Xenopus tropicalis: one gene and its partners. The protein of the gene in region 1 interacts with the protein of each later gene in a pairwise test. Links are inferred from orthologs where the notes say so. Each region holds a gene or a part of one and is shown in the gene's direction. Other genes may lie near its edges. The genes, in order: morf4l1, sh3glb2, l3mbtl3, nab2 and mrgbp.

The links.
Region 2: the proteins of morf4l1 (region 1) and sh3glb2 interact in a two-hybrid assay, tested with the Homo sapiens proteins (2 studies listed by BioGRID and IntAct). The link is inferred for Xenopus tropicalis from reciprocal best matches to the Homo sapiens genes MORF4L1 and SH3GLB2.
Region 3: the proteins of morf4l1 (region 1) and l3mbtl3 interact in binary tests that used the Homo sapiens proteins (3 or more experiments, as listed by UniProt). The two-hybrid records come from large-scale screens. The link is inferred for Xenopus tropicalis from reciprocal best matches to the Homo sapiens genes MORF4L1 and L3MBTL3.
Region 4: the proteins of morf4l1 (region 1) and nab2 interact in binary tests that used the Homo sapiens proteins (3 or more experiments, as listed by UniProt). The two-hybrid records come from large-scale screens. The link is inferred for Xenopus tropicalis from reciprocal best matches to the Homo sapiens genes MORF4L1 and NAB2.
Region 5: the proteins of morf4l1 (region 1) and mrgbp interact in binary tests that used the Homo sapiens proteins (3 or more experiments, as listed by UniProt). The two-hybrid records come from large-scale screens. The link is inferred for Xenopus tropicalis from reciprocal best matches to the Homo sapiens genes MORF4L1 and MRGBP.

The regions. Positions count from the first base shown.
Region 1 is NC_030679.2:118,086,859-118,092,835, reverse strand, and holds part of morf4l1 (mortality factor 4-like protein 1), read left to right. Parts: intron 1-2,239; coding exon 2,240-2,286; intron 2,287-4,136; coding exon 4,137-4,204; intron 4,205-4,989; coding exon 4,990-5,076; intron 5,077-5,552; coding exon 5,553-5,633; intron 5,634-5,977. UniProt on the Homo sapiens protein: Component of the NuA4 histone acetyltransferase (HAT) complex which is involved in transcriptional activation of select genes principally by acetylation of nucleosomal histones H4 and H2A.
Region 2 is NC_030684.2:22,815,713-22,822,246, forward strand, and holds the start of sh3glb2 (endophilin-B2), read left to right. Parts: upstream 1-2,739; 5' UTR 2,740-2,816; coding exon 2,817-2,879; intron 2,880-6,534. Other genes in the region: ptges2 (prostaglandin E synthase 2), read left to right, coding at 1-152, 359-476, 595-723.
Region 3 is NC_030678.2:83,382,820-83,389,499, forward strand, and holds the start of l3mbtl3 (lethal(3)malignant brain tumor-like protein 3), read left to right. Parts: upstream 1-2,931; 5' UTR 2,932-2,968; coding exon 2,969-3,033; intron 3,034-6,680. UniProt on the Homo sapiens protein: Is a negative regulator of Notch target genes expression, required for RBPJ-mediated transcriptional repression. It recruits KDM1A to Notch-responsive elements and promotes KDM1A-mediated H3K4me demethylation.
Region 4 is NC_030678.2:139,237,983-139,243,959, forward strand, and holds part of nab2 (NGFI-A-binding protein 2), read left to right. Parts: intron 1-2,953; coding exon 2,954-3,749; intron 3,750-5,977. UniProt on the Homo sapiens protein: Acts as a transcriptional repressor for zinc finger transcription factors EGR1 and EGR2. Isoform 2 lacks repression ability.
Region 5 is NC_030686.2:2,536,582-2,543,089, reverse strand, and holds mrgbp (MRG/MORF4L binding protein), read left to right. Parts: upstream 1-2,288; 5' UTR 2,289-2,327; coding exon 2,328-2,466; intron 2,467-2,916; coding exon 2,917-3,038; intron 3,039-3,161; coding exon 3,162-3,243; intron 3,244-3,384; coding exon 3,385-3,459; intron 3,460-4,399; coding exon 4,400-4,584; 3' UTR 4,585-5,230; downstream 5,231-6,508. Other genes in the region: opioid growth factor receptor-like, read left to right, coding at 6,430-6,508.

The DNA.
Region 1 (5,977 bases):
AAATTATTATGTTGCCAGTTGACTACATCATTCTAAACATATTACTGTGCCTAAAGGGCTAATAAAGCCTGCACTCTGGTTGGGGGAAACAATGGTTTTGGGTTTTTTTCTTCAAAAAAGCCAGTGCTTCCTCGTGCAGGCGGTCATGATATTTAGCACATGTATGATGCACATGATGAGTAGGACTGCCTGAGTTCTCATTATGCACTTGCGAGAATGTGACTCGCGCTTCTATGGCACACGCACGCGCATAATGAGCCAGTTATGGCACTCACTTGTTATGCGCATGCAAGTGCCACGTCATGGCTGCCCCAACCGGGAGCTCACTCCCAGTGCGGTATGCCTAACACTGTAGTGGGCTTTTTTTTGTTTTCCCCAACCGGAGTGCAGGCTGTATTTGGCTGCACCTCTGATAGGGAAAGCAATTTTAGGGTGATAGTAAAATAGTAAGTTGGGTTGAAAAAAGACATACGTCCATCACGTTCAACCATAATAACTATATATAACCTGTCTAACTTCTAGTTGATCCAGAGGAAGGCAAAAAACCCCATCTGAAGCCTTTCTAATTTGCCGCAGAGGGGAAAAAATTCCTGACTGCAAGATGGCAATCGGACCAGTCCCTGGATCAACTTGTACTAAGAGCTATCTCTTATAACCCTGTATTCCCTCACTTGTACTGAGAGCTATCTCCCATAACCCTGTATTCCCTCACTTGTACTAAGAGCCATCTCCTATAACCCTGTATCCCTTCACTTGCTAAGAATCCATCCAGCCCCTTCTTAAAGCTATATAATGTATCAGCCAGCACGACTGATTCAGGGAGGGAATTCCAGAACTTCACAGCTCTCGCAGTAAAAAATCCTTTCCGAATGTTTAAATGGAACCTCCCTTCTTCTAAACGGAGTGGGTGCCCTCGTGTCCGTTGGAAGGACCTACTGGTAAATAAAACATTAGAGAGATTATTATATGATCCCCTTATATATTTATACATAGTTATCATGTCACCCCTTAAGCGCCTATTAAGGTGCCCTTTAATAACTTGTCAGTGACTTACTGTAACTTATGTATTATTAGAAAAAAAAAATTATGTCTCCCCATCTTTGTAGAGTGTCATGAGCTATATAAAAGCACTTTTACTTCGGCCTCATGCCATTTATATGGATATGGAACTCCTTAATTCTAACATCCTTGTGTTTTAGAATAGCAATTATACAGGAAAAAAATGTACGCTCTGTTTCTAAGCCCAGGTCCTGTTCACACGTCTAACCTATGTAACCGATATAGTTCTTAATAATAATACTGTTATGGATTTAGAAAGCAATATACATTTCCCCCTTATTTAAGCAATACAAAGTTACACCTTGTTTGAGAGCCCCTTTATTCAGAAGCAGTTATATAAGGAAACATAGTAGGCAATTTGCCACTAGAGGTCACTGCGTCATCACTGTATGTGGGTGGAAGCTACATTGTAAGAGATGAGTCTGCCTGTGTGCAGACACGCGGAGCTTATTTCAGAAATGAAAATGCATACTCCTATTTCAGCACCGATATCCGCTGCGTGTGGCCCCTGTTAGTGCAGACACAGAAGGGCTCTGTGTAACTGTAGCCTTAATGAGCAGTAATAGGAAATTAGCTTATGTACTCACCACATATAAACAAGGTCTTTTTTTTCAATTGTTAGTGCTTAGTGTATTGTGCTTTAAAAGACAACTAAAGTCTAATTAATGGCAGGGTATTATTCCATTATATTAGGAACCCCCACTGAATTTTTCCACCCAGGCTGGCGTCTTACACAATGTAGAATGAGGTGGATCTTTATATTTATAAGCTGCCATTGCATCTGTATTTACCAGGGGATCACTTGCACCTAGCTAGATGTGCAGTATAGAATTTTCCTGAGCATGTTTGTTGCTATGCAAAAGGGTTCCCTGGTAAGATGACTAAATAGAAAAATACCAAAACCATGACTCTCTAAACAGCTTATCTGCTTATTTTTATGCACTGCGTAGTGTCCACCTGATCCACTACAAATAACAATAACGTTTATTAATGCATTTCATTACTTTCTGTCTAAATGGAGGGAGGCAAACAGCCAATGCAGGGATTTATATGCTGTATGAGGCAGATTTAATAACATTAGTCAGCCTCAAAATCCGTAGGGAACAGGTTTGAGTGTGCTTGTTTCTTGTGATCTAGCACATATACTTCTCTTGGCATTAAATTTTGTCTTTTCTCATAGGTGAGCGTGTCTTGTGTTTTCATGGTCCTCTGCTTTATGAAGCTAAGGTAGGCTTTGTACTAAATATGAACACACTATTATTTCTTTGTTAAACTTTATGAATGTTAAGGAAGGTGATTAAAAATTTAAGTTGGCCTCTTGCCAATGACACCTGGGACTATTTTGGGTACTTTAGCTTAGAAACACTATACTAAATTGCCCGACAGCACAGATTTTTAAGGCTACCATTGCCTGACAAGCCTATGTCTATGAAAAGCCTGTCATGTCTATGGTTCAGATGAATTTCTACCAGATCTCTGGACAATTAAAAACCTATGTGCCTTTGCCCTATATGAGGTTTTTGTTTTTTTTTACTATGAATTAAACTTCACATAAGAACATCATTGATCTACTGAGTACAATAATGACCCATAAGGGTGTAGAGCTCTTATTTGTGGATGCAGAAAAGCAATTCTCTGTAAATTACATCCCCCATTTATGATGTAGCTGGGTAGAGATAACATGGATCATTTACTTACATAGTACAGGTATGGGATCCCTTATCCAGAAACCCGTTATTCAGAAAGTTCTGAATTACAGAAAGGACATCTCCCATAGACTCCATTTTAACAGACTTAAGTTATGGAGATCCAAATTACAGAAAGTACAGTAATACAGTAAGTTATGTTATGAGTAGAGCTTTCACCCCCCTCTGCCTAAAATACTTTATAGATGCATTTCTAACCCAGTCCTTCGAAGGGTTAAATTGGTTTCTTAACAGAAAGATAATTCAATTATAGGGCTGCTGTTCATGTGATTTTGTACTGCAGGCTTATGATACAAGAAATAGAGATTACAGCGATTTTCACCGTTGCCCTTATTGCTGGAATATATAAAGTTTGTACTTGATTAGTCTACCACAGATCAATTGTTGTGATGTATAATCCTGCTGTACTTGCCTCCTCTGACAAGAAGTATATATTCTGGGTGGTCTGGGGCAAGCAGGCTCAGTAGAGAAGTCACAGCAGGTTTAGGAATGGCTGCTCAAGTCTCCTGCTGAGCTCAAAGTCTTGGCATCTGCATTGCATTGGCTGCATTCTTGAGCCTGTGCACATGTATATGTATCCAGAGGGGTTTCACAGCAGGTATGCATTGGGTGCCCTATTTTAAAACATGGGAAGCAGGTTATAGAAAAAGTTAGACTGTTGAATGGCATGACTGTAGCTGTTAAATTAACAGAATTGGATGCGGTTTTCAGTCAAACAAAGGCAAACAAAGCAAAATGCTGTCTTGAGGAGACTGTTTGCAGAAAATGTTTGTAAAGTGTGTATGCAGTTTATCTCATTTATAAAAAAGTTATGGTTGCCATACAGGCCAAGACCCACTTGCTTGGCAAGGTCGCAAGTAATCAATTTAGAACAATGTGTATAGACGTCCGTCGGTTCAGGGACCGCATCAACGAGCTGTCGCGGGCCCCGATCCAACTAATATTCAAACCTGCCCGATCGAGATCTGCCCAATTTCAGGCCAGATGTTGGTCGGGCGGGTCTGTCGTTAGTGTCCAAACACGTGCTGATAAGCTGCCGAATCTGTCTAAGGGACCGATACTGGCAGCTAGAATCGTCCCGTGTATGTTACCCAAACAGCGGTTCCTAAAATGTAAGGTCTATTCCTGAGAGGGCATGGAACAGCATCAGATGGGACTGTGTCTGAAGGCCTATTTTTGGGGCATACCCATTTGCTCTTTAGGATGCACCTGAAAGAACAAAGGCTAGATGCAAACAGTCTGACAACCGCTGAGATAGGGAAAATACTATACTCCTTTTTTCAGGATGGGCATACTATTTTGCTCATAGCTCATGTCATATGCTTGCATTTCTGAGTACTAGATAAAGTTTGATCTTTCTTTTTATATTAGTGTGTGAAAGTTGCCATTAAGGACAAACAAGTGAAGTACTTCATTCACTACAGCGGATGGAATAAGAAGTAAGTTATATGTAGATTGACATTTCTCATTTTTAATTGACTTAATTAGATATCTATTCTTCAGTTGAAGGTAGTATTATTCTGATAACGTTGTATAGTTCTGGCTTTCATATAGCTAGAATAAACCCTCATAGAGATGAAAAAGTCTCTGTTACAAAAGATTGTAATAAAATTACATAATAATTAGGTTTGGGTAACAGAATTAGACATATAGTGCCCCTAAAACTTAGGTACACACAGGGGCCCATTCATTAAACCACGAATTTCGGATTGTTAAAAGCACAATTGGAAAAAATTCTGAGTAACCACAATAGTTTCTGATGTTCGAAAATGTCACAAATTCTTTTCTCGGACGTACAAAAAAATTGTGGTTAAGTTCTGAAATTTTCGTATCCGAACGATCGCAAACGGCGCAAAAACCTTTCTGACTTTGAAACTTCAATGCATGATTTTGGAAGCCTTCCATAGGACTCAATGGCACTACAGCTCCAACCTGGCCAAAAGAAAGTCACAATACCAAAGCTTGCATGAATTCTGAAATTGTTGTATCCTTTGCAAAAAAAAATACAACTTTTTCGTGGAATTTAACAAAAACCACGAAAAAGTCGTACTATTTTAACAACATTATCGGAGTCCATATGAAAAGTTCTAACAATTAGAAAAAATACAAATTTTTCTCATATATTTCTCTACGTAGTTTTCGGGTGCTAAATGAGTAGAAAGTTATGTATGTACCTGTTTAAACTTCTATAAATGATCAGTAATTTTACTTAATTTTGTTGCAGCTGGGATGAGTGGGTACCAGAAAGCAGAGTACTCAAATACGTGGACACCAACTTACAGAAACAAAAAGAACTTCAGAAGGCCAATCAGTAAGTGGGGCCAAAATTTGGGACCTGGGGTTTTCCAGGAAAGGAATATTTCTGTAACATGGATCACCATAACATGTTTGCTAAAAATCATTTAAACTAAAATTATCTTGTTAAAATGGACTCAGTGGGGGACTACCTTCCTGTAATATGGAGCTTTCTGGTTAACGGGTTTACCCTGCTTTGCCATTACAGTGAACCTTCAGCTCCACAAGATGTTGTAAAGGCACAAGATCACAACTGTGGGATATATTATTACTGTTAATTTTATATGCCATAGTGGACTATATAAAACATAACTTTTTTTTTTTTTAATTTTTTGTCAGTCCCCTCATACTTGCCTAATACATTAAGGGACATTTAATCAGTGAACGGCCTCTTTGAAATCTTTTAAATACCTGTCAGTCCGGTTGTTCAAAGGTTAATAGGATATTGTTGTAAAAACTTGCTTTCCTTATTTTGACTTTTTTCCCATCTAGGGATCAGTATGTAGAGGGGAAGATGAGAGCAGCAGCACCAGGAAAGAAGACTGCTGCCCTTCAACAGAAGAATGTAGAAGTGTAAGCAGTGCTGTTTTTTTTTTTTTCTTTTTTTAAGCTTCTCTTTCACTTTTTAGGTATTTTTCACCACTTAAATTTTGTATCCCATACATTTGCCTTATATACATTTCTAGAAAACACTGAGACACTTGTTTAAGTTACAGTGCTTTCTGATAACACCCTTCCTTAAATAATTTGTAAAAAACCTATGTGAATAATCCTATATAACATGGAGGCATTTTATTTTGCAATTTGCAATTGTGACTGTAGGGTGGCAGCAATTGTGACATGTTGGGTGGCTGTGGGAAGCTTAAATAGGGGTGACTTTTTTTTTGTAAACTTTTTGTTTTTATTGTTTTTTTACA
Region 2 (6,534 bases), on another chromosome or scaffold:
ATCTCTCCCAATGTGTATCGGACCCCCCATGAAGCCCTCGCCTCCTTTGACTACATTGTCCGAGAGGGAAACTTTGGCCCGGTGGAAGGCTTGTTTGCTAAATATGTAGGAGCAGTAGCCATGTACATAATCGGCAAAAGGCTGAAGAGCAGGTGTGTGCAGGGTGGGTGGCTGTGCTTATAAAGTGCCATTGCTTGGGATGTGGGTAAGACACGCTTAGGCCCTATTGTGGCCCTCTAGCTGTAGCCAAAACCGTTGATTCCCACCAGTATAACCATTAGAGGGATGCTAGGAGCCACACATTGTCTTTAATGTAGCCATGTCGCCTTACGTGATTTCTCGTGTGGCCCAATTGCAGGCACCATCTTCAGGATGACGTGCGTCAGGATCTGTATGCCGCAGCCAATGATTGGGTGGCGGCCGTGGGCAAGCACAGGAAGTTTATGGGAGGATCTCAGCCCAACCTTGCTGACCTGGTGAGCATTTGCTGTTGTGTGTGATGGGTGCATCGGGGGAGGGTGACTGGGCCCAGTCTGATCCTGCTTGATTCCCCAGGTGTTCTCTAACCTATCTGTGCATTCCCTATTTTTTAAGGCTGTGTACGGGGTGATGCGAGTGATGGAGGGGCTGGAATCATTCGATGATATGATGACCAACACCAAGATCAAGCCCTGGTATGAGCGGATGACCACGGCTGTTTATAGCCCTGTAGATTCACAGTGAGCCCCTGCCCTGAAGTAGAAAGCTGATTGCACTGGACTCCTGCAGAAACCCAGGGAGGACCAAAGCCGAAGCACTTAATTAATCTTTACATTATCGATTCAGCTGAATGCTGGGAAATCCCAGAATGGATTATGCCTTTTGCAGATGTCTTCTGCTTGCTGGGTTAGGAAACAGTTAAAAGAAATTCTATAGTGTGGTTTGGATCTCAACATCCTATTCCTTAACAGAACTCTGTGTTTAGTGGCCCCTTTACTTTCTACAAACATAAAGCTCAGTTTTAATATAACAATAGCATTTGGACTGCTGGACAGCGGATGCGATGCATTCAAAGCACTTCCTATATCCATGGACTATTTCACTTGTTTCCTAATTAGGATATTTTGGTCTTTGAATTCAGCAAAATCTCAATAAACAGGTAGTACTGTATCAGTGGGCAGAGACCTTTCATTCCTGTGCCCAGTGTATTTGGTGGTATTTAGATCAATACCATTGATCAATGTATGTGAAAATTAGACTTACCGTATGTTGAACAAGTGGGCTAATCTGAGTGTTTGGTCCTAGGGCTGGTGGGAGTGGGTCTGGGGTGCAAGGGGACTGCACCCATGGCCTCATAATTTCTCACAGTAGGGTACTTCCCCTATTGCCTGATTTATATGAGAACAGACCCTGATCATATGTGGATTAGGGAGGCCTAGTACATGATGAGAAGTGAGGGAATAGTAATTTCTATGCTGTGGCCAACTCAGTTTGCACCAGTGCAGTAACCCAGATAAACCAGACATGTTCTGGGCACTGATTACACCAGACAAATCAACATTGCTCTTTAGGGGGTACTACACTGGTCCAAATGAAAATCAATAGTGGAAATAGGATATGCCTATATTCTGCAGAGAATATGGTTCAGACCACACCAATTGTTTCCACTGAAAGATTCTAATGTAGTTGGCTGGTTGGCAGCCTGTGGGGGCAGCACTTGTGGTGCTTCACCCAACCAAAAAAAATCCACCCACCTTCTATATGCCTTCCACCTGTGGGTGGGGCAGTTGTCTCTATGGTGAGAGGGGGGGGCAACATACCTTCCTTTACACAGAGCAATCATGCATACAAGCCTGCAGTTCCTGGAACAATCGTGCTGTGCGACCTGTCACGCTAGAATACTGTTGCCAGACAACCAGAATAAGGGTTGTGTATAAAGTAGAAAAGAGAGCAAGAGTGGCACACCAATTGTATCTGATATCAGAATGGGAATGTTGGCCAGTTGTCTGGCTTTTAATCATTTGGGAATCCAATGAGTGTTCCAGGCTTTAGAGGTCTGGGCAGGGGAGATTGAAGGCTCCCATAGGAGCTGGTGTCTAGATCTCACCCACAGTTGTACAGTAAGGAGCCCTTTAAAGCAAGAGAGGGCTTCAGGATCGAAGGCATTGGACCAGCTTTTCGGGACCCAATGACCAGGTTTAATACAGTGGGTCCCAAGCAGTATAACAGCCCCAATGACATGGTCACTATCAGGGTTTTCTGGATAATGACTGGGGTATAAGTGGATCAGGGGTGTGTTTGGGTATTATGAGGTAGATCATGGTTGTGAATCATGTAAGTGAGCATTTGTGGCCCCAAGTTACTTAATTGGTGTGGTCCAAGTGGGCAATGAGCTATGAATCCCAGTGAACGCAGACTGATGAAGTAGTGTGAGGACATATTATTTTATGATGGCTGCCCAGCCTATAGAAAGGTACACAATATGTGGGTAAATAATGCTTTCTAAATATGCAGATAGTGCACAACTCGCCCTTGTTCCCAGGTTGCTCATCCCAGATCAGTGGATGATTTCAATCTTCTTTTACATGATATTACTGAATTCGGAAGAATTCCCGTGAGGCTCAGCTGCTCTGACTGCATTGGGTGCAGTGTTATTATGGTAGGGCTCCTTTAACAGGCGCATCAAGCGATCCCGGATGGACAGAGGCAGGGAGGGAGTGATGAGCTCTGGGATAGACTAGGCGGCCTGTGGGTAAGCATTAGCCGTGGGTGGGCAGGAACAGGGCAGTGCAGACAGCTGGCTCCCGGCTAGAGGTGCGCTACCAGCCTGGCACAAGATGGATTTCAGCGTGAAGAAGCTGGCATCAGATGCAGGGGTGTTCTTCAGCCGGGCGGTGCAGGTAAGGGCCCGGGAGCGAAGACATCGCTCTGGGACCCAACTCCCCTCCCCTCTGCAGCATCCTCCGCTCCCAGCTGATGCTTCTTATCCTGCTCCATCTTTGCTGCACTTTGTGCTCCGAGCCTGCAGCCATTATGTGCCCCCTAGGTTCCTCAGTACCCCGGTCTCCCTTAAATATATTGTTTGTATATCCCCCCCCCCTTAACTGCATTGTACGCCTGCCGCCTTCCCCTGTACCCTATCCTTTTATCAGCCCCACCGCATTGTACCCTTACCCACCCTAGTTATACCCCTTCATTAGCCTGGCTGCACTCTTGCCAACTTCTGTTACACCGCCTTTATTTTCATGCCCACCCAAATATATAGCATTCTTTCCATCTCCCCATACCCCCTTCATTAGCAATGCCCACCCAAATATATAGTATCCTTTCCCATCTCCCCTATACCCCCTTCATAAGCAATGCCCACCCAAAAATATAGCATCCTTTCCCATCTCCTATACCCCCTTCATAAGCAATGCCCACCCAAAAATATAGCATCCTTTCCAATCTCCCCTATACCCCCTTCATTAGCAATACCCACCCAAATATATAGCATCCCCTATACCCCCCTCATTAGCAATGCCCACCCAAATATATAGCATCCTTTACCATCTCCCCTATACCCCCTTTATTAGCAATGCCCACCCAAATTTATAGCATCCTTTACCATCTCCCCTATACCCCCTTCATTAGCAATGCCCACCCAAATTTATAGCATCCTTTACCATCTCCCCTATACCCCCTTCATTAGCAATGCCCACCCAAATTTATAGCATCCTTTACCATCTCCCCTATACCCCCTTCATTAGCAATGCCCACCAAAATATATAGCATCCTTTCCCATCTCCCCTATACCCCCCTCATTAGCAATGCCCACCCAAATATATAGCATCCTTTACCATCTCCCCTATACCCCCTTTATTAGCAATGCCCACCCAAATATATATAGTATCCTTTCCCATCTCCCCTATACCCCCTTCATTAGCAATGCCCACCAAAATATATAGCATCCTTTCCCATCTCCCCTATACCCCCTTCATTAGTAATGCCCACCCAAATATGTAGTATCCTTTCCATCTCCCCTATACCCCCTTCATTAGCTATGCTCACCCAAATATGTAGTATCCTTTCCATCTCCCCTATACCCCCTTCATTAGCTATGCTCACCCAAATACATTGTACTCCACTTATATACCTTCATTTGTCCTGGCTGTACTCATTGCCAACTTTCTGTACCCCTTCATTACCCACGCCCAACCAAATATATTGTAGCCTTACCCCCCTATACACCTTTCGTTACCTATGTGTGTTTAACTACTATGTAACCTTGACCACCCCCCATAGCTCTTTCATTAATGATGCCCCCAAATTCATCATAGCCTTGCTTCTCCTCTATACACCTTCATTACCCCTGCCCACCCAAAGAGCCTTACACATCTCCCCTGAACCCCCCCCCCCTTATTACACATGCCCATCCAAATACATTGTAGCAATACCCTCTATATTCTTTATCCTCATCGTTACTGTACCCTTGCTCCCCTCCTCTGTACCCCTTCATTAAAAATATCCAACCAAATACATCTCCCCTATAGTACTTAATTAGCTATGTCCCTCCCAATTATATTTTAGCATTGCCCACCTCCCCAATGAATCCCACACCCACCCAAATACATTGTAGCTATGCCCTCTTCATTGACCCTGTACCCTTAACTTCACTGTACCCTTACCCAGCACCTATATACCACTTTCATTACCCATGCCCACCCAAAAACATTGTAGCTTTGCCAACTCTAGCTTAACATGCCTTCCGGGAATGTAACAATGGGTGAGCAGACCCTCACATCATATTACCTGGGGGTCCTGTGAAGCCCCAAAACATGCTCTATTGTAATACATATGTATATATATATATATATATATATATATAGATATATATATATATATATATATATATATATGCAGTCAAAGCTGTCTTGCCACTTGTTATAAGGGGCCCTAAACTGATATTACTGTGGCTCCATAAGTCCAAGTAGTGCTTCTAAAGCAAACACAGTAATTACCAGTGCCTTATATTTAAATGCATATAAATATTTTTTTATTTTGCGTGTAGGTATTATTGAGACTTTATTAAAGGCCCATACTGTAGGGCTGCAGAGAAATCAGTGCAGTCTGCATTAGAGCAAGCATTCATTCCATTAATCTGTGCCCAGTTTTAAGGGGGGTGCCAACACTTCTCTGCCTCACGGAATAACAAATCCCTGCGCCCCCTTGCACTGGAGCTGGAAGGGCAAAGGGCCAGTGGCCCCAGACTAATAAGCCCACCTGTAACCTCACTTCTTAGGCCCAACCCTTTAGCACACAAGCTGTTATAACTAAAACTCCCAGCATTCCCTGGCCGCTCCCATACTTCCTCCTTTCACTATTAAGCTTTCCTACGCCTTCAAGTCCTTTCTTAGGCCAGTGGTGTAATTATCAGGCATGTGACTGCAACACGGATCAGAGGTCCCTACTTACCCCACCCTGGCACTGAATAGGTTAATAGCGCCAGTATTATGTGTAATGAAAGGGTTATGCCGACTTGGCTTATCTCATGGGCAATGCCACTCCAGGGATTTTATTGTTGCCGCCAGTGATGTACCTCAGCACCCTGTACTGTTGCCAGGCAACCAATTCCCCTATGCATTCCCATCAGCCCCTGCACCAATGGAGCTTACAATCTAAGGTCCCCATCACAAGTGCTTCTTGTCCCTTAATCTACTGCTTATGTGTGTGAGCCCCACAGCCTTGGTATTTCAGGGCAAGTGTGTTGTGACGGCTGTTGGGGAGACACAACTCATGAACCGCACTGCTGGTCGCAATACTTGGCGACTGTGCCTGTAGGTGAGGGGTCACACTGCAGGAAGGGGGGGTTGTGCAATCAGTCAGGCGACTGTGGGTTGGGCAGCACCAGACTTTTCTGTGCTGGAGGGTATGGGAATAATTGCTTGGCTCGGTCATGCGTGTAGCCCTGCCTGTGTCACTGGTTCAACTCTTAGCATATCCTGGAAGCTTGGGCAATTTAAAGGGCAAATATACACTTTATATGTACACCCCCCTTTTTCCTGCATCATGGCTAGGTTGGGCAAGAGGGCAATGATTTGGTGCCAGGTTCAACCTGGGGGCTAAAGGGTTTGGGTCTCCACTTATCTGTGCTGCATGTGCTTTCAGGCCTATTAATGATGACAGAATGTATATGACACGGGGGAGTTGTAATTATTGTGCTTGCTACATTACAAAAACATTTTTTTCATACATTTAAATAGAAGGCAAAAAGGTAGATTAGCTGTTGTCGGCATTGAACGGGTTAAAAAAAACCACTAGGGCCCATATTATCCATTTATTCCTTGTTTATTGGACTTATGTTGCCTGTATCTGTATAATAGGGCTGCTGTACAGTGGCACATATGCAGTTGCTGTTTTTATGGCCATCTGCTACCCCTACTTGTGTCCCGCAGGGTCAGGCCCACCTGAGTAATGCCATGAATTGGTAGCAGCTGAGTGTGAGATGTTGCTAGCCAGGGGCAGAGGGCGGTGCATTAGTAGAAAGAGGGGCGGAACTGTAGAGCAAAGGAAAGG
Region 3 (6,680 bases), on another chromosome or scaffold:
ACAAAACTCCAAAAATGGGCAGGACAAAATTATTGGCACCCTTAACTTAATACTTGGTTGCACACCCTTTGGAAAAAATAACTGAAATCAGTCGCTTCCTATAACCATCAATAAGCTTCTTACCCCTCTCACCTAGAAATTTTGGCGCCTTTTCCCAACAGCAATTTTAAGATCTCTCAACAGATGTTCAATGGGATTTAGATCTGGACTCATTGCTGGCCACTTCAGAACTCTCCAGTGCTTTGTTGCCATCCATTTCTGGGTGCTTTTTGACCTATGTTTGGGGTCATTGTCCTGCTGGAAGACCCAAGATCTCGGACGCAAACCCAGCTTTCTGACACTGGGCTCTACAGTGCGACCCAAAATCCTTTGGTAATCCTCAGATTTCATGATGCCTTGCACACATTCAAGGCACCCAGTGCCAGAGGCAGCAAAACAACCCCAAAACATCATTGAACCTCCACCATATTTCACTGTAGGTACTGTGTTCTTTTCTTTGTAGGCCTCATTCCGTTTTCAGTAAACAGTAGAATGATGTGTTTTACCAAAAAGCTCTATCTTGGTCTCATCTGTCCACAAGACGTTTTCCCAGAAGGATTGTGGCTTACTCGAGTACATTTTGGCAAACTGTAGTCTTACTTTTTTATGTCTCTGTGTCAGCAGTGGGATCTTCCTGGGTCTCCTGCCATAGCGTTTCATTTCATTTAAATGTCGACGGATAGTTCGCGCTGACACTGATGCTCCCTGAGCCTGCAGGAGAGCTTGAATTTCTTTGGAACTTGTTTGGGGGCTGCTTATCCACCATTCGGACTATCCTGCGTTGCAACCTTTCATCAATTTTTCTCTACCGTCCACACCCAGGAAGATTAGCTACAGTGCCATGGGTTGCAAACTTCTTGATAATGTTGCGCACTGTGGACAAAGGCAAATCTAGATCTCCGGAGATGGACTTGTAACCTCGAGATTGTTGATATTTTTCCACAATTTTGGTTCTCAAGTCCTCAGACAGTTCTCTTCTCCTCTTTCTGTTGCCCATGCTTAGGGGCAGATTTACTAATCCACGAATCCGAATCCCGAAAGGGAAAAAAATCGTATTGGAAACAAAAATTTGTTTTTCGTATTTTGCGCGACTATTTTGTCGGCGTCACGCTTTTTTTGTATTGAGCTATAGTAAACGGCGGAAAAACCAATCCGATTTTTTCGCTACGGCGATGAAAAAGTTGCGGAAAATATATGAAAAAGTTGCGACGGCGACGAAAAAGTCGCAATAATACTGATCATTACAGAAAAACCGCATTCGGACGCCTTCGGACCGTTCATGGATTAGTAAATCTCCCCCTTAGTGTGGCACACACAGACACGCAATGCTAAGTGAACTTCTCTCCTTTTTATCTGCTTTCAGGTGTGATTTTTATATTGCCCACACCTGTTACTTGCCCCAGGTGAGTTTAAAGAAGCATCACATGTTTGAAACAATCTTATTTATCCACAATTTTGAAAGGGTGCCAATAATTTTGTCCAGCCCATTTTTGGAGTTTTGTGTGACATTATGTCCAATTTGCTTTTTTTCCTCCCTTTTTTGTTCTGTTCCAATACACACAAAGGGAATAAACATATGTATAGCAAAACATCTGTTACTGCAATACTTTTCTGTGAGAAATACTTTCTGGGGTGCCAACAATTTTGACCATGACTGTATAGCTGCTGTTTAAAGGAACAGTAACACCAAAAAAATTATAAATTTAAAAAAAACTAAACTATAATGTACTGCTGCCCTGCACTGGTAAAAGTTTTGTGCTTGCTTCAGAAACATAACTAGAGTTTATATAAACACTGGTGTGTAGCCATGGGGGCAGCCATTCAAAAGAAGAAAAGGCACAGGTTATATAGCAGCTAACAGATAAACCCTGTAGAATACAATGGTGTCTTATCTGTTATCTGCTATGTAACCTGTGCCTTTTCTCCTTTTTTCCAGCTTGAATGGCTGCCCTCATGGCTACACATCAGCTTATTTATATAAACTATAGTAGTGTTCCTGAAGCAAACACCCCAGTTTTACCAGTGCAGGGCAACAGTACGTTATGTTTCAATTACTTTAAAACACTTTCATTTTTTGGTGTTACTGTTACTTTAAAGCAGTGTCTGCCTGTCCTTTCTACTCTCTGCCCTGGTGGCTCTGGGGTTTGAAACAATGTAACACAAGGCAGCAGACTGACAGACCTGCCTTGCTGGAGGAGCCTGACCTACATTGTTTAAAAAGTCATAACCAGGGGTTCAGCAAATGCTGCTTTCTATAGCAATTACAAATTACTTTTAAAGCTCTAAAATGTTTAATAAATGCATATTGGAAAGTTGCTTATAGTTATGTTTTCTTTTATTAGGCAAAACATTATTTTTGGTTTTGACATGTCCTTTAAATTAACCACAAAGTTAATTTGCTGGGTGATTATTTTCAGAAATACTGTTTTCCCCTAGTATACATATTTTATCAACCTAGACTCATGTTTTTTTTGTTCTTCAATGCTATGCTTTATTATGTAGCTGTACAAAGCACTGGAATGCCACGCATTAGCCACCATAGCCGGGCAGTCACGGATAAACCACTCCTCTTAATCGAACGCAATTCGGTGGCAGCTATTTATTTTACTTTTGCGCCCCCTGTAGGCGAGCTTTTTAGTTAATGCCAGTCTCCATAATAAATGTGGTTACATTTCTCTTGAAAACTCAATTTCTCAATAATGCTCAGAACTTTGGAGTTACCACATAGGGCTACTATATTATCCTTATCATACCAAATTTATAATCATTCAGACTGCAACTAATAAAACAGAACTCCTAATTGCCCCACTCTTTGCCCCTTAAATTACCCTGCTTGATTGGCGGGGGGCAGTGGGTGGGAATGTGCTGTGTTACCGTAGCAACAAAGAGAGGCGGTGTGAATTTAGGATCTGCCCCCTGACGCCATCTTATGGTGGAAGAGGTGGCTCCGGGAGAGAGAAGAGTGGTGAGAAGTGATGGTCTGCATAGTGAGAGGGGAGTTTTGCCGTGTGTGGGGTAGTGTTGCTTTGCAAACGGGGAAATGAGGGAATAGCTGCAGCCAGAGGAATAGAGAGCCGTGATATTGCAGGAAACTGTGTGTGATGCTTATTAGAGAGCTAGCAGTACAGTGACGGATCAGTATCCGGCAGGCAAGCTGCACCCCAGCACTCCTAACCTGCTGCACACTGTCCTGACTTACCGCAGCAATCCCCCCTCCCTCCTATTACAGAATGTTTCAGGACTTTAATCATCTCCAGGTTGATCAGTTTAACACAATAAACTGCTCCAGGATTGCCAGAAAACTGGCTGAGGAGTATGGAGTATTATATATTGAGAAAGGGGTGCACATAATAAGAATTATTGTTCCCTGCAATACTAGCATAGAAAATTAGCAGTCTATATAAACTATATAACTAGATTTTAAAAATGCTTTCAGAGAAAACCTTCCATGCAAACTTGCAGCAACTTTACTATTAGTTTTAGGTAGTAACATTAACTACACTTTTACACATTCCTAAAATAAGCCATAAATGCTGTAGTCTTATATTAGGAGTATATCTCTGCTTTACTTGTGTCTTGACTGGAATGGAAGGGTTTGCCACCGCACACCTCTTTAAATATCCAACTATGGGAATGCATGCTGAATGCATCAAAACAAATATATTTCATTTTGAGATGTTAACATACTTTTCACTAATTTAGGAAGCTTAACACAGTAGCCTAGCTGGACATCAGGTGTTGGGATTGCATACTAGCCACTACAGCACCTTGTTAGTGAAGATCTGTGCCCCCCAAAGATGCCCTTGTAGCTCCCCATTTTTTTCAGCTGTTTTGCACCATGCAATCTGTACAGCTGTCAGTTACTGGCTCTTAGGGACCAACTCTCAATATACAGTAGAAGTCACTGTACAAGGCTGTGTAATTCATATTAATATATGAAATTCACAAACTGAAATTACTTATCTGAACTGCCCATATATAATTTTCTTTTTTTTTTTTTTTAATAATCCAGGAAATACACAGTAGTGTGCCTGTGGCTCACAGGGACCATTTCCCCATCCCCCTAAGGCTGGCAGATTCATATAACCCCTCCCTTATCTTTTTCCATATAAAGGTGATACATTCTGGGGCTTGAAGTCCCTGTGCTTCCATGGTGGGAGGTGCATAAATTCTCTGAGGAGTTCCTCTGAGAGGAACTTCACGTCTCTGGATAATATCACATGACAAAAGATCAAGGAGCGGTTGTATGGATAGTGAAAAATAATCCCTGTTAATTAGAAGCAGAGAAGCAGATGATTATGTATTATTCTCAATCTGAGGAATACTGTTAAGTGTTTATCCTTGTTTTTTTACATAAACCCAACTGACCCTATGTCAGAAAGGGGATATATATCAGTCCTGATGGTGTCTGCACTCCAAGGCTTTAGTATTCTGTGGGGTGCACAGCCAAAATCTGAGTATTTAGCATGAAATAATCCATGGCCGGCACACCCTTAAAATTCAAAAAAATTTTTTTATTGAAAACTCATTGTTTAAAAACCTGGTTTTTTTTTGAATTTTAAGGGTGTGCCGGCCATGGATTATTTCATGATATATATATATATATATATATATAGATATATATATATAAAATATTAGTATGTAATATGTTATATATGTAATTAATTTTAACTGGATACAATTAAGGTTTTGTCAATGATTCCTATATATGACCAAAAGATTTTAAATGCTTGTTATAATGTGCTGTGAGTGACTAATTATTAATATTAACACATATTTATAAAGCACCAATATGTAGCCCTATAAACTAATAATAAGTATGTATGGATTAAACATACAAATTTACATACAGAAACAACCAATAACTAATGCAAGAGGTAAAGCATTGTCCAAATGAGTTTATAATCTGAAAATCTTGTTTAAATGTTTTCCTTGGTATATTTATTATTTTTTTCAATATTTAATTCCTGGTATTCCTGGCAGCACATTTCCACAGCATATACACCATACTCACACACACACACACACACACACATACATACGTACAGTGATGCTTGGAAGTTTGTGAATTTGATCTAAAACATCATCTGATCTTCAAACAAGTCCTAAAAGTAATAAGAAAACCTAGTGTAACAAATGAAACAAAAATTATTATATTTGGTCATGTATTTATTGAAAAAAAAATGATCCAATAACATATCTGCATGTAGCAACAATAAGTGTATCTTTAGGATTATCATATCATTTGAAGGTGAATTCAGTCTGGTGTTTTCAGTCAATGGGATGACAATCAGGTGTGAGTTAGAGACCCTGTTTTATATAAAATAAAAAGGGGGTACCAGCAAAGCCTGATCACACATACAACACATTTGTGGATGTGTATCATAGCTCAACAAGGTGTCTAAGGACCTCAAAAAAAAGAGTTGTTGATGCCCATAAAGCTGGAAAAGATTACATGATCTCAAAAGAGTTTGGACTCCACCAATCAACAGTCAGACAGATGGTATACAAATGGAGGAAATTTAAGACTGTTGTTACCCTACCCAGAAGTGGTTGACCATCAAAAATAACTCCATCTGGAAGGTGTCTTATAGTCCGAGAAGTTACAAAGGAAACCAGGGAAGCGCCGGAACTAGGGGTAAGCAGAAGAAGCACCTGCCTAGGGTGCAACAATGGGTGTGCCAGGCAGGTACCTCTCCTGCCTACTCCTACTCTGCGCTCCCTTGTCTTTGCCCCCACCACTTGTTATTACATGATGGGGGCAAATGAGAAGGATACTGGAAGAATGTTTTGGGGATGGATAAAGCCAAAATAGAACTTTTTTACTTAAATGAGGAGAGTTACATTTGGAGAAAGTAAAACACTGCATTCCAGCATAAGTACCTTTTCCCATCTGTGAAATGTGGTTGTGGGAGTGTTCTGGTTTGGGCTGGTTTTGCTGCATCTGGGCCAGGACAGGTTGCCATTATTAGTGGAATAATGAATTTTGAACTATACCGGAGAGTTCTAAAGAAAAAAGTCAAGATATCTGTCCATGAACTGAATCTCAGTGGTTCATACAGCACAACAACTAATACTAAACACACAAGTCATTCTATGAAAGAATGGTTAAAGAAGAATAAAGTGAATGTTCTGGAATGGCCAAGTCCTGGCCTTAATCCAATTGAAATGTCGTGGAAAGACCTAAAGTTAGTGGTTCATTTGAGGAAACCCACCAACATCCAAGAGCTGAAGCTGTTCTGTATGGAGGAATAGGCTAAAATTCTTCTAAGTCGATGTGCAGGACTGACAGTTACCACAAACATTTATTTGCAGTTATTGCAGCACAATTGGGTCACACCAAATACTGAGAGCATGATTCACTTACTGTTGCCAGATACATATATGTTATTGGATCATTTTTTTCAATAAATATATGGCGAAATCTAATAAATTTTGTTTCATTTGTTACACGAGGTTTTCTTAATCTACTTTTAGATGTTTTAGGTCACATTCATATAAAAATATAGAAAATTTACAAACTTTCAAGCACCACTGTATATATGTATATATGGTGCAGCAACCATATATAAAAAAATATTTCCTTTTTCTCTACACTAATAAAACAGTGTATTTATTAATTATTTTAAGCAGATTTATGG
Region 4 (5,977 bases), on another chromosome or scaffold:
GAAAGTAGGTTAGAGTTGGGTGCAGGTCGAATTTTTTTCAACCCACACATCACTAAGGTATAGGATGCATTATCCAGAAAGTTCCAAATTATAGGAAGACCATGTCCCATAGACTCCATCATAAGCTAATCTTTAAAAAAGTATTTTCTTTTTCCCTGTAATAATAAATCAGTACCTTGTATTTGATCCCAACTAAGATATAATTAGTCCTTATTCCAGGCAAAACAGTCCTATTTAATGCTTTTTAAGTAGACCTAAGATATGGAGACCCAAATAATGGAAAGACACCTTATCTGGAAAAGCCCAGGTCCTGAGGATCCTGGATTATAGGTTCCATACCTGTATTGATAGACCTCAGTTGATAGGTTACATTCTAGAGGTTTAGGCCTTATTAAACAATATAATGACTGTACTAGCTGTCCTCTCTTTGGCAAAGCAGTATCTCTTCACTGAATCAATATTCCCATATCAGGGGACATTGCAAAATAAAACCTGTCACTGTTTCACAGTTTTGGAACCAAATCTAAGACCGAAGGCATTACCCAAAACACAGTAGACAATTATGGGTCATACTGTAAAGCAGTAGTAGAGCAGAAACCAAAATCAAAGTCATTACTACTTTCACTGCAACTGTCTCCATAGCCTGCTACCAAGCATCTGCTCAGTTTAGACAAAGAAATATTCTCTTTCAGATTTAGATAAATCATTGACAACAGAAAATTATAAAAGTGGTAAAATATATATATATATAAACTATGTGCTCTAAGGCAGCATGTTGGTGGTATTTAGCACTTTCTTATTTATATCCTAAGCACATATTCACGAGAAATTGTACATATTTACACAACAATGACACCTTGCATAACAGGAAATATTGCTTGCAAGTAGCAGTATCAAGCGGGGAATGCTGACCAGCAAGCACATAGTTCTCACCCACCTTTGCAGAGTGTTGAAACTCTATATGTCCTTGTATATAATACTTTGTTCTACATGAATATATTGGAGAATATAACAAAAGTTGCAAAGTTTGCACCAGGTCTGGCAAACCATAGCAACTACATACTACTTTATTGGTTGCTGTTGGTTACTAGACTTTTGCAAAACATTTGCTTACATGCTTGTTAGGAAGCAGTGTGTCTTTGTACTATTTTGCTAATCATGAGAGTGTAAATCACAATGTAAAGCTGGCCATACACGCACCGATGATATCGTACAAAACCTCGTTTCGTATGATATTTGGTGCGTCTATGGCAACTCGCAGAAGGCTGCTGATATCGGTCGACTCGCCAATCGGGCGGGTTAAAAGATTTTGATCGGGCGCCATAGAAGGCGTCTGAGCAAAATCTGCCTTCAGGGCTGAATCTACAGAAGGAGGTAGAAATCCTATTGTTTCTACCTCCATATCTGACGATTCAGCCCTGAACGTCAGTGGAGGGTTGGAACGATCTTTTGTGCGGCCAGTGATCACACGAAAGAACGAAAATCGCCACGTGTATGGCCAGCTTAAAATGTAACAGATCATTCTTCATAGCCTGGAGATATCTAAAGAAAATCTAAAGCTGCTAGACTAACGTGAGTTCTGGTGTTATGGCCAGCTTACTAACTAGGGATGCCTGTCTTGTTACCGATGGCTGCTGAAACATTAACAGTTGCAAGGAACAAACTAAGAGCATTTTGAAGAATTCAGTGGTGGCCAGAGTACCCATGTGCTCCCCGAACAAATAGCCTTTAAGCCTGTCTGACTTTTACTCTGTTCCATAGGGTTACATCCAGTGAAAGTTGTCATTTAACCTTGAATAATTCTACTGTATTATGCTTAAAAGAGATTTAAAGTTCCAAAAAGAAAATGTATACTTACGCAAAACTTACCCAGCCCAAATCCACAGCAGCACTTTATCAGTAGGGTTGCCACCTTTTTCTGTCAATAATACTGGCCTTCGGGTGGGAAGGGGGGGTCATAATGTAACGGGAGGGAAGATGGGTGGAGTGGGCTGGGCAGGGAAAAATTGGATGGGGCAAGGAAATGGATAGGGAAATGGACAGGCTTATAGGTGGAGCATGGTTATAAGGGGTGAGGGAATGATTTATAGGGCATTAAAAATTTACCAGCAATTACATTGCCAGTAAATGTGTAATACCTATGCCGGCCCTAGCTGATCATTTACTGCCCAGGCTGGTCAATACTGGCCAGGTGGCAACCCTGTTTAGCAGTTATTCTGTGCCTCACAAGATGCCTCCAGTAGCTTCCTATATTATTTATCTTCTGACTCACATTAAATGCCATAGGCTGTTTTCAGTTACCTAAGCTTAGGGACCAGCTTTATATAGTAATATAACATTCACAATACAAAGCTAAATAGTAATTCTATTCTGTTGTGTATAAAAGCTATGAATTCTGCATCAGAATTAATAAGTACCAATAGAATCAGCTTATTTGACAAATGTCACCTATTTGCTAATATTGAGATGATTTCCAATAACTCCCACCAATACTGCTATGGGGCTGCTGAACCAAGTTCATTTTTTATGACAAACAACTTTTCTAGTTATAGTTGATGCATCATATCTGGCTTGTTTTGTGATCATTTTTTTGCTGCTTTGGGCATTTATTGAAAATCGTTTCCATTTATACTGTATATGGTATTTTTTTTTTATTTCTGCTCTTTGTTATTGATCTTATTCTTCTCATGTTATTGTTCAATGAGGCATTAGATTTTTGATTATTTTGACATGTTTTTGTTACCAGATACAGACCTTGCAGTTGGGTTGTTAAGTTGGTATTTTGGTTTGCCTTGTTGAATATTAGGACCATTTTATTTAATTCTTTCTTTCATTTTGTGTATTGGGCTGCTTTCTAGGTAGAAGTGCTGATTGGGTTCTCATTATAGTCATATATCCAGAAACATTTAAAACAAGTTTTTTTGTAACATTTCTATAAATTTCTGTCTTGCAGGATCACTACGGACCCAGTTATTCTTCCTCGCACCCTGGGTGAACTGCAGTTGTACCGTGTCCTCCAAAGAGCCAACTTGCTTGGTTATTATGACACCTTCATCCAGCAGGGGGGAGATGATGTGCAGCAGCTTTGTGAGGCGGGTGAGGATGAGTTTTTGGAAATCATGTCTCTGGTTGGCATGGCAACAAAACCATTGCATGTCAGACGATTACAAAAAGCCTTGAGAGATTGGGCGACCAATCCAGGATTGTTTAATCAGCCTGCCTTGGGAAATATACCTGTCAGCAGCAGTATACCATTGTTCAAAATTTCAGAGACAGTGGGGCGAATTGGTAGAAATACAAATGGGCATCTCAATGTCCCTGAAGTTCAGTGCAAAAGCCCTGGAAATTTTGTTCTAGAACAAGCTGAGAAAATATCCCCTTCCCAGCTAGACAGGAGACAGTGGACTGCTCAGATTTCCCCAGAGCTAGATGATGCAGATGAAGAAGAAGTTGGTGAGGAAGAAAATGGAGGTGATCAATATTCTTCACCTGGGGAAAGGCTAGAACCTGAGCTAGCCCAGGTCGTGTCCGATAGTGTGGATAGACTAATGAAAGGACTGCCACGAGGAGATATCAGTGAAGCCAGATCAATGCTAAAGTTGAACAAGAAATTGGGTCGTTCACTCGGACACATTTTCCAAATGGGCAATGGAAGTCAGAGGAAGGAACGTGAAATTCGCAGACACAGTGCCATCTATGGACGGAGTGAATCCAAGAGACGGGAAGGAAAGAGGCTTACACTGCATGAGGTCAGCACAAACTTCTTTTTACCTGCTAATTCTTCATTGTTTTAGCTGAGGTACCAATAGAATTTACTGAGCTGCTCAGAGTGTAATGAGTTGGTGTTGATGTTTCCCATATTGTGTGTAAAAAAGGCAAAGTTGTGCTCATCACTAAATTTTAAACCATTAGGTCATGGTGCAATGAGACTGTGACCACAAATTCCTATAGACAGAAAGAGATTTTTTGGAGTAAAAGTGGTGTTAAACTGGTGTAAAACACTTTTTCCATGCTCATACAGAAATCTGCCTAAATTCTGACTCAACCGTCACTTTTCAGTTTTTGGTGAAAGAAAGACATTTTACAGCCACTTGAAAATAATGTCAATATATTGTATAAGTCTTTATTCAAAGGAAAAGTAAAGCCTCACTGACAATTCTTTAGTTTTGGTACTATTGCACAGAACCCTCCTCAACATGTCACTGATGTGGTTGGGGAGGGAGGATAAGGAATCTTTTGGAATCTGACCCTGTCATAAACAGCCATCATTTCTTTTGTTGCTCATATTAGGGCTCAATTACAACTGTAAAAGCAGTGAGCAAAGTAAATTTTGCGCAACCGTCATGGTTTCTTCTCATAATGCAGAGCTTTTTCCCAGAATTGTTGTTGTGCTGATCCACCAAAGTTAACACAACTACACTTGCACTTTAATGTAAACTGAATGCAATTGCGCTTAAAGTTTTCCAGGTCCTGTTGGCATCATTTCCAGTGTTTGCCATAGAGTGACGTGCGCCCAGTTCTTTAGAGGCAAGTTCGCTGTGTCTATTGACCCAGGTCTGGAGGTGGTGGTAGCTCCAGGGTTCCCCTGTCAATTGGTACAACTCTTCTCAATTCAGAATGGGAGGTGGATAGGCAGGGTTGGACTGGGGTATACAGATCCCACCGGGGCTTCTGCCTCAGGGGCCCCTGCACCCCCCAATGGCCCCCGCTGCAGCCTTCACACACCTCCCCGCAGGCCCCCCCACCCGTCCAACCCCTTCCCCCGAGCGCGCATAAATGAAACTTACCTGCGGCGCGTCGGGGAAGGGAGACCGGAGAATCAGTGGAACTCCCTGTGGGGAATCGGGTCTGGGCCGCCGGAGTCCACTAGAGCCAGGGCCCATCTGGCTTTTTCCCAGTGCCCCGGCAGCCCAGTCCAATCCTGAGGATAGGACTGACACAACTGAAAGTTTAAGGTGTTCCTTCACAATAAAGGGTGTATTTGCTAACACTGGAGATAAATATCTCTAGTAATGTTGCCCATAGCCACCAATCAGATGCAGACCAATTGCAATTGGTCTTTATTTTTTCATTATTTTCAGATTATTAATTATTTAGCTTTTGTGCAGCAGCCTTCTAGTTTGGAATTTCAGCAGCTATCTGGTTGCTAGGGTCTAATTTAACCTAGCAACCAGGCAGTGGTTTGAAAGAGAGACAGGAATATGAATAGAGAAGGGCCTAAATAGAAATATAAGTAATAAAACAATAAAATTGTAGCCTTTCAGAGCTATAGTTTTATGGCTGTCAGGGTCAGTGACCCCCATTTGAAAGCTGGAAAGAGTCACAAGAGGAAAGCAAAAAATTAAACTATAATAAGATGAAGACCAATAGAATAGGACATTCTTTAACATACCAAGGGGCACATTCATCAAATCACAAATTCGAATCCCGAATGGGAAAAATTCGGATTGGATACAATAATTTTTGAAGATCGCAAATATCACGAAACGCAAATATCACAAAAAAATCGTATTAGTCACAATAATATTGTATTGGTGATCCAAAATTTTCGTATTGAGCGATACTGAAGCTTGAATGAATCCAAAACTTTCATACTCTGCGCGACAATACGATTTTGTTGCACAAATTTTGTTGCAAAGTACGAAAAAGTTGCGCAAAGGTACGAAATTGTCGCAGAAAATACGTTCAGTGCGAAAAATAAGCATTCGGAGCGTTCGTACGTTTTTAAGTATCTCCTGAGGCCATTAGCCTGGCGCTAGAAACAATTCACTTAGGGCAGATTTATCAAAATGTGAGTTTAGAGCTCAATGCATGAAAACTTATCCAAGTTCTATACATTCCTTTGGGATTTCTCGAAGTGTTTTTATTAAGTTAGAAGTCAGCATTTAATAAATGCGCTACTAAAAATCCCATAGGAATGAATAGAACGTGGGTGAGTAAGCTCACATATTGATAAATCCGTTCTTAAAATGATGTT
Region 5 (6,508 bases), on another chromosome or scaffold:
GGGGCATGGGAGTGGCTTACTGTAGGTGGGGGCATGGGGGGTGGCCTATAGTGGGTGGGACATGGGAGTGGCTTACTGTAGTTCGGGGCATGGGGGGGTGGCCTATAGTGGGTGGGGCATGGGAGTGGCTTACTGTAGGTGGGGGCATGGGGGGGTGGCCTATAGTGGGTGGGACATGGGAGTGGCTTACTGTAGGTCGGGGCATGGGGGGTGGCCTATAGTGGGTGGGACATGGGAGTGGCTTACTGTAGGTGGGGGCATGGGGGGGTGGCCTATAGTGGGTGGAGCATGGGAGTGACTTACTGTAGGTGAGGACATGGGAGTGGCCTATTGTAAATGGGGGTGGGATGCTTAAAACTGCCTACAGGCTCCTGCGATGTACATTTAGTCCTGGCTTCTTCCCTGCCCCAGCAGGAACATCCCCAGCTCCTCAGGGGTTCCGCCCTGGGTTCCCTTGTAACCCACCCAAACCTGCGCAGCGCAGCGCCCCTTAAAGGAACAGTAACACCAAAAAATGAAAGTGTATAAAAGTAATAACAATATAATGTACTGTTGCCCTGCACTGGTACAGCTGGGGTGTTTGCTACAGAAACCCTACTATAGTTTATATAAATACCCCGCTGTGTAGCCCCGGGGGCAGCCATTCCTGCACTGGTACAGCTGGGGTGTTTGCTACAGAAACCCTACTATAGTTTATATAAATACCCCGCTGTGTAGCCCCGGGGGCAGCCATTCCTGCACTGGTACAGCTGGGGTGTTTGCTACAGAAACCCTACTATAGTTTATATAAATACCCCGCTGTGTAGCCCCGGGGGCAGCCATTCCTGCACTGGTACAGCTGGGGTGTTTGCTACAGAAACCCTACTATAGTTTATATAAATACCCCGCTGTGTAGCCCCGGGGGCAGCCATTCCTACACTGGTACAGCTGGGGTGTTTGCTACAGAAACCCTACTATAGTTTATATAAATACCCCGCTGTGTAGCCCCGGGGGCAGCCGTTCCTGCACTGGTACAGCTGGGGTGTTTGCTACAGAAACCCTACTATAGTTTATATAAATACCCCGCTGTGTAGCCCCGGGGGCAGCCGTTCCTGCACTGGTACAGCTGGGGTGTTTGCTACAGAAACCCTACTATAGTTTATATAAATACCCCGCTGTGTAGCCCCGGGGGCAGCCATTCCTGCACTGGTACAGCTGGGGTGTTTGCTACAGAAACCCTACTATAGTTTATATAAATACCCCGCTGTGTAGCCCCGGGGGCAGCCATTCCTGCACTGGTACAGCTGGGGTGTTTGCTACAGAAACCCTACTATAGTTTATATAAATACCCCGCTGTGTAGCCCCGGGGGCAGCCATTCCTGCACTGGTACAGCTGGGGTGTTTGCTACAGAAACCCTACTATAGTTTATATAAATACCCCGCTGTGTAGCCCCGGGGGCAGCCATTCCTGCACTGGTACAGCTGGGGTGTTTGCTACAGAAACCCTACTATAGTTTATATAAATACCCCGCTGTGTAGCCCCGGGGGCAGCCGTTCAAGCTGGAAAAAAGGAGAAAAGGCACAGGTTACATAGCAGTTAACTAGTAGATAAGCCCCATATAGTGGGTGTTTATCTGTTATCTGCTTAGTAACCTGTGCCTTTTCTCCTTTTTTCCAGCTTGAACGGCTGCCCCCGGGGCTACACAGCGGGGTATTTATATAAACTATAGTAGGGTTTCTGTAGCAAACACCCCAGCTGTACCGGTGCAGGAATGGCTGCCCCCGGGGCTACACAGCTGCTTATTTATATAGTAGCTTTTCTGTAGCAAAAACACCAGTTTTTTGCAGAGCAACAGCACATTATATTTTAATTACTTTAAAACACTTTAATTAATGTTACTGTTCCTTTAATACTAAAGGTAATATATCAGCTGGGTGCAGTTACCAAACGTGCCCACTGGGTGCCGCTGTGTAAGTGCAGCGCTTACTGTTCCAGCCTGATAGCGCTCAAAGTAATAACATGTTTGGCTGCCGCTGGCCACAGAGAGTCGCTATGGAAGCTGCAGATGCGCGCAGTGCGGTTGGGGAACACTAGGTGGCGCTGCTCATGTGTAACATCAGTCGTTCGCTGCGCTGTCGTTTGGCTGAGTGCAGTACTGCTGGTGAGCACTAGATGGCGCTATTGCACTAGGCACAGTGCCGCTGCTGGATACCGTTATGAGCGGAAGAGGCTGCTGCCCAATAGACGCCCCCTGTTGTGCTGCTATAGATATTGCGCTACAGTGCAACACCCATGGTGTCCGCTAGGAGTCGCTGTCCCCCGCAGTTTCCCCCCATTGGCTGCAGAGATGGGGGATTTAGAGGCCGGGGAAACTACTGTGGAAAAACCCGAGCCTCCCCCTGCCCCCCCCGCGGAAGAGCCGGTGCTGTGGAGCCCGGAGGTTGAGGTGTGTCTGTTCCATGCGATGCTCGGCCACAAGCCGGTCGGTGAGTGGAGGCCGCGGCCCATCCCCGGACTCGCGTAATCTGGGAACCCGGGAAGGGGGGGCTTCCGGTCCGGGTGGCGTCGGGACATGGCGGCCCGGGGCGGGATGAGGGGCTCTGGGTGTCTGTACCTGGGGGGGTAGGGGCACTATATCGGGCACTTTGGGGTTATTGTACCAGTGAGTGTAATTACACCGCAAAAGTAAAGTCCTGGGCAGTAACCTATAGCAACCAATGGGATCTTTGTTTCTATTGTTCTCTGCGGCTGAAAGAGAATCGCTGATTGGTTGCTCTGGGCTTTTGCTGCAGATTTGCCCCCTGTGTATAAATACATTCTATTTGGGGGGTATTTGGGCAGAACTAGGGGGAACCCTAATAACCATGTGACTACGGGACTCATTAACCCTTTGGCAGACGCAGGGCACAACTGACTCTTCTTTTTGCCCCTCGCAGGCGTGAACCGCCACTTCCACATGATCTGCATCCGGGACAAGTTCAGCCAGAACATCGGGCGCCAGGTCTCATCCCGAGTCATCTGGGAGCACCTGCGGAGCATGTACGATATGCAGGCCTTGGTAGGTGGCCCCGGGGAATGGGGGGGGCATTTCCTTACACTTCCAGGTGAGGTAGCCCCGCCCCCTGCTGTTTGCTCCACCCCTGCGCCCCCCTAACCTCCTGCCGTTACTTTCCCGTTGCAGCACGAGTCTGAGATTCTCCCCTTCCCAAACTCGGAGAAGAACTTCATTCTCCCGGAGGATCTGATTCAGGAGGTGAAGGAGGGTGAGTGTCAGCCTTTGGGTCCAGTTGCCCTCTGGGTACTGACCTAATGCTCTCTGTACCCCATTACTAACCTTGTGCCCCCCCCCGGGGCCCCCATACAGCCGGGCCCTAAAGGTCTGTGTCCCCTCCTCCTCTCTGCAGGGAAGGTGACGTCGGAGGAGGAGCTAAAGGAGGAAGTAAAGGAGGAAGTGGAAATACACGGCGGCTCGGATGAAGGTGGGAAATATTGGGCTGAGGAGCTTGCAATCTGTTATTCAGCTTCCCAGCCTCGGCCCCTGAGGAGTCTGTAGGGGCAGCGCTTAAGGGGGCGGTTCCCCTTTAAGTTAACTCTTAGCATGCTACACAATGATCAGTTCTAAGCAACTTTTCAATTGGTCTTTATTTATTTTTTATAGTTTTTGAATTATTTGCCTCCTTTCAAGTTTTCAAATGGGGGTCACTGACCCCGGCAGCCAGAAACCTATTGCTCCGTGAGGCTCCAGTTTTATTGTAACGTTTTTGTAACTTTTTTTTCTATTCAGCCCCTCCTCCTATTCATATACCAGCCTCTCATTCCCTGGTTGCTAAGGTAACTTGGACCCCAGCAACCAATTAGCTGCTAAAATTCCAAACTTAAATAACTAAAAAACTACAAATAATAAAAAATGAAGACCAATTGCAAACTGTCTCAGAATATCCCTCTCTACATCGTACTAAACGTTAACTCAAAGGGGAACAACACCCGAAGGTGCAAGTTTTGGGTCTTCCAGAACCGTTTCAGCCCATTTCCGGAACCAAAAATACACCTCTATCATTGTCTCTATTGGAACACGGCAGGGGGAGGGGAGACTTGACCAATTCTTCCAAGTGCATTGTGGGTAATGGGTGGTTTCTTGGTGGCTTCAGGGGGTCGGAACTTCATCTCTGTTGCCATAGTAACATTTCAGTCATCGATATCCTCATTGTCAAGGGGAGGAGCTTCCTGTACCTGTATAAGTGCATTTAGCAGGGGGCAAACAGTATAGCCACCTGGGGGCAGCAAGTTTAGCAGTTGCCCCAGGCAGATAACATAACCTGGGTGGGGGCTTCTGTGGGGTATATACGTGAGGAGGGGTAGATTTAAGGGGCAACAGGCCCTGCCAGATGCCTCACTCATGGGTATTTCCTTCCTCTGCAGCTTTTGTCAACTCTGGGAATTCTGGGAAAGGGCTGGACAAAGCCCCCGGGAAAGAGCGGACCCTCTCGGAATCCAGCTCCAAGGAATCGGGGGACAAGCGCAAGCGGAGCCGGCTCACCGAGAAAGTGCAGAACGCAAACAGCAACCCGTCCAGCCCGAACGCCAACAAGCGCAGGCGCACATAGGGGCGGGGCTGAGAGAAGGGGTGTGGCTTCCCAAGGGGTCAGAACCGGCCCGCGTGTAACTGAACTAATGGGTTGTGTGAGAGTCAGAACATTCTGCCCCGGCTCTGGGGCAGTAGCCAGTAGACTGTAGATCTCAAGGATGTAAATATTTTTAGGGGGTATGTGGGGGGGGGGGGTAGTGAATCTACATCCGCGGGGGCTGGGCAGACTGTGGCCCAATCAAACCCTCGTTAATCTACTGATGAATAAATCAATTCATTTCCCAACCCCTCTAATCTATTAGCCACGGGCTGACCATCTTTTTTATACCCCCCCCCCCCCAAAAATCAGCTTTGGAACGTTCCACTTTGCTCTTTCATAATGAATTAGGCACAGTCAGCAGCCTGGGGCCCCCCCAGAAGGTTCCTCCAGGGAATGGGGGGCTCTGGCTGTTCCCCACTATAGAGTCTCGGGGGCTGTCCTGCGAGTGATTCAGGGAGTTCAATGAATTTATAATGAACTTTCAGCAGACGGACAGGGGATCGATTCCCGCCGAAGGATGTCGGGATTTTACCCTACAGGGGGCAGCAGAGGTCTCTCCGGGTATTTAAGGCAGTTTTTATAATAATATTTTTAATGGATTTTATACATAAAGTGTTGGACAATGTAATCGCCTCCTGTTGTGATTTATACACATGAAATCGTTTGCCCCCCCCCGGGGGCCCCATTAGGGGGCATTAGAGAATTTCACCTTCATCCTATCAGTGTTTTGTTATTCTACATTCTGGGTTCAAATAGTAAAAATTCAATATCCAGTGAATTCATAATGGAAATCATCTCAGGGGCTTTTGGGCAGGGGTGGGGCAATGGGCAATAGCAAGCGCTGCAGTCATGAAAAGGATTTCAGCGGGGGCGGGGCCTGGGCTCTTACAGAGGTGGAGGAGGAGTTTAGGAGAGAATGTAAAAATCCCCCCTCGGTAATAAAGATTTGGTGACAGACTAGGATTTTGGCAGTGACAGTGGTCAGAGAAGGAGTTAATATGGCCAGAGGTTAATGAAGGGGTTAATAAATATATTAGCAAATTATTAACATACAGATATTATTGAAAGTCAAATGAGTGTGAAATGTAAAACCTGCATGTATAGGGGGAGCTATAGGGAGTTGTCCCACCCCTAGGGGATGCCAGTGATTGGCTATGGAGTATGAGTGACAGGTATGTGGCCCTATCTGCCTTTGTCCCGCCTCTGAGTAGCCAGACCGCACCCTCGCTGAGCCCCATAGAGACACACAGGGAGGGAATCTAATCCCCCAGGTGTCAGGATTTATATATATATATATATATATATATATTAATAGGGCGGGGCCTGATGGGAGGTGTTTAACCCCTTCTGTACCTGCCAGGAATGTAACAGCCAAACACAAACTGCTCTGTCCTGAGAAAGGTGCTGCCCCCTAGTGGCCGGTACTGGGTTTGCCCTTGGGCATAGCTCTTACCCCTAGTAGGGTTCTCTTCTGCCTCAGCTGGGGGTCACTTCCAGGCACCCACCTTTAGTTTTGGGGTTACCCTGTACTCACTATTGTCCCCCCTGATTATATTATATCATTTGCCAACTCAGCCCCAAATGTGCCAGGCTTATTGCCATAGGGGTCACAGGAAGTTGCCATGGGAACAAGCTCAATGCCACATTCCCAAATAGTCGGTAACTGCCCCCTGTTATCCCTCCGCCCGGTGCCAGGGGGCGCCCTGTTCCAGCCAATCAGATCATTGGGTTCCCTGTATCCCCGGCCCAGTCCGGTTTCGCTTTCATTTCCCTTCGCAGCGAAACCCTGGGATCTGCCCCGCACTGCGAAACTGCCCCGGTGTCATGTTGTGGGGTCGGGAAGAGCGGTGGGACCCCCAGTGGGACTCTACCTGGGAGGAGGAGGAGGAGGAGGGGGAGATCC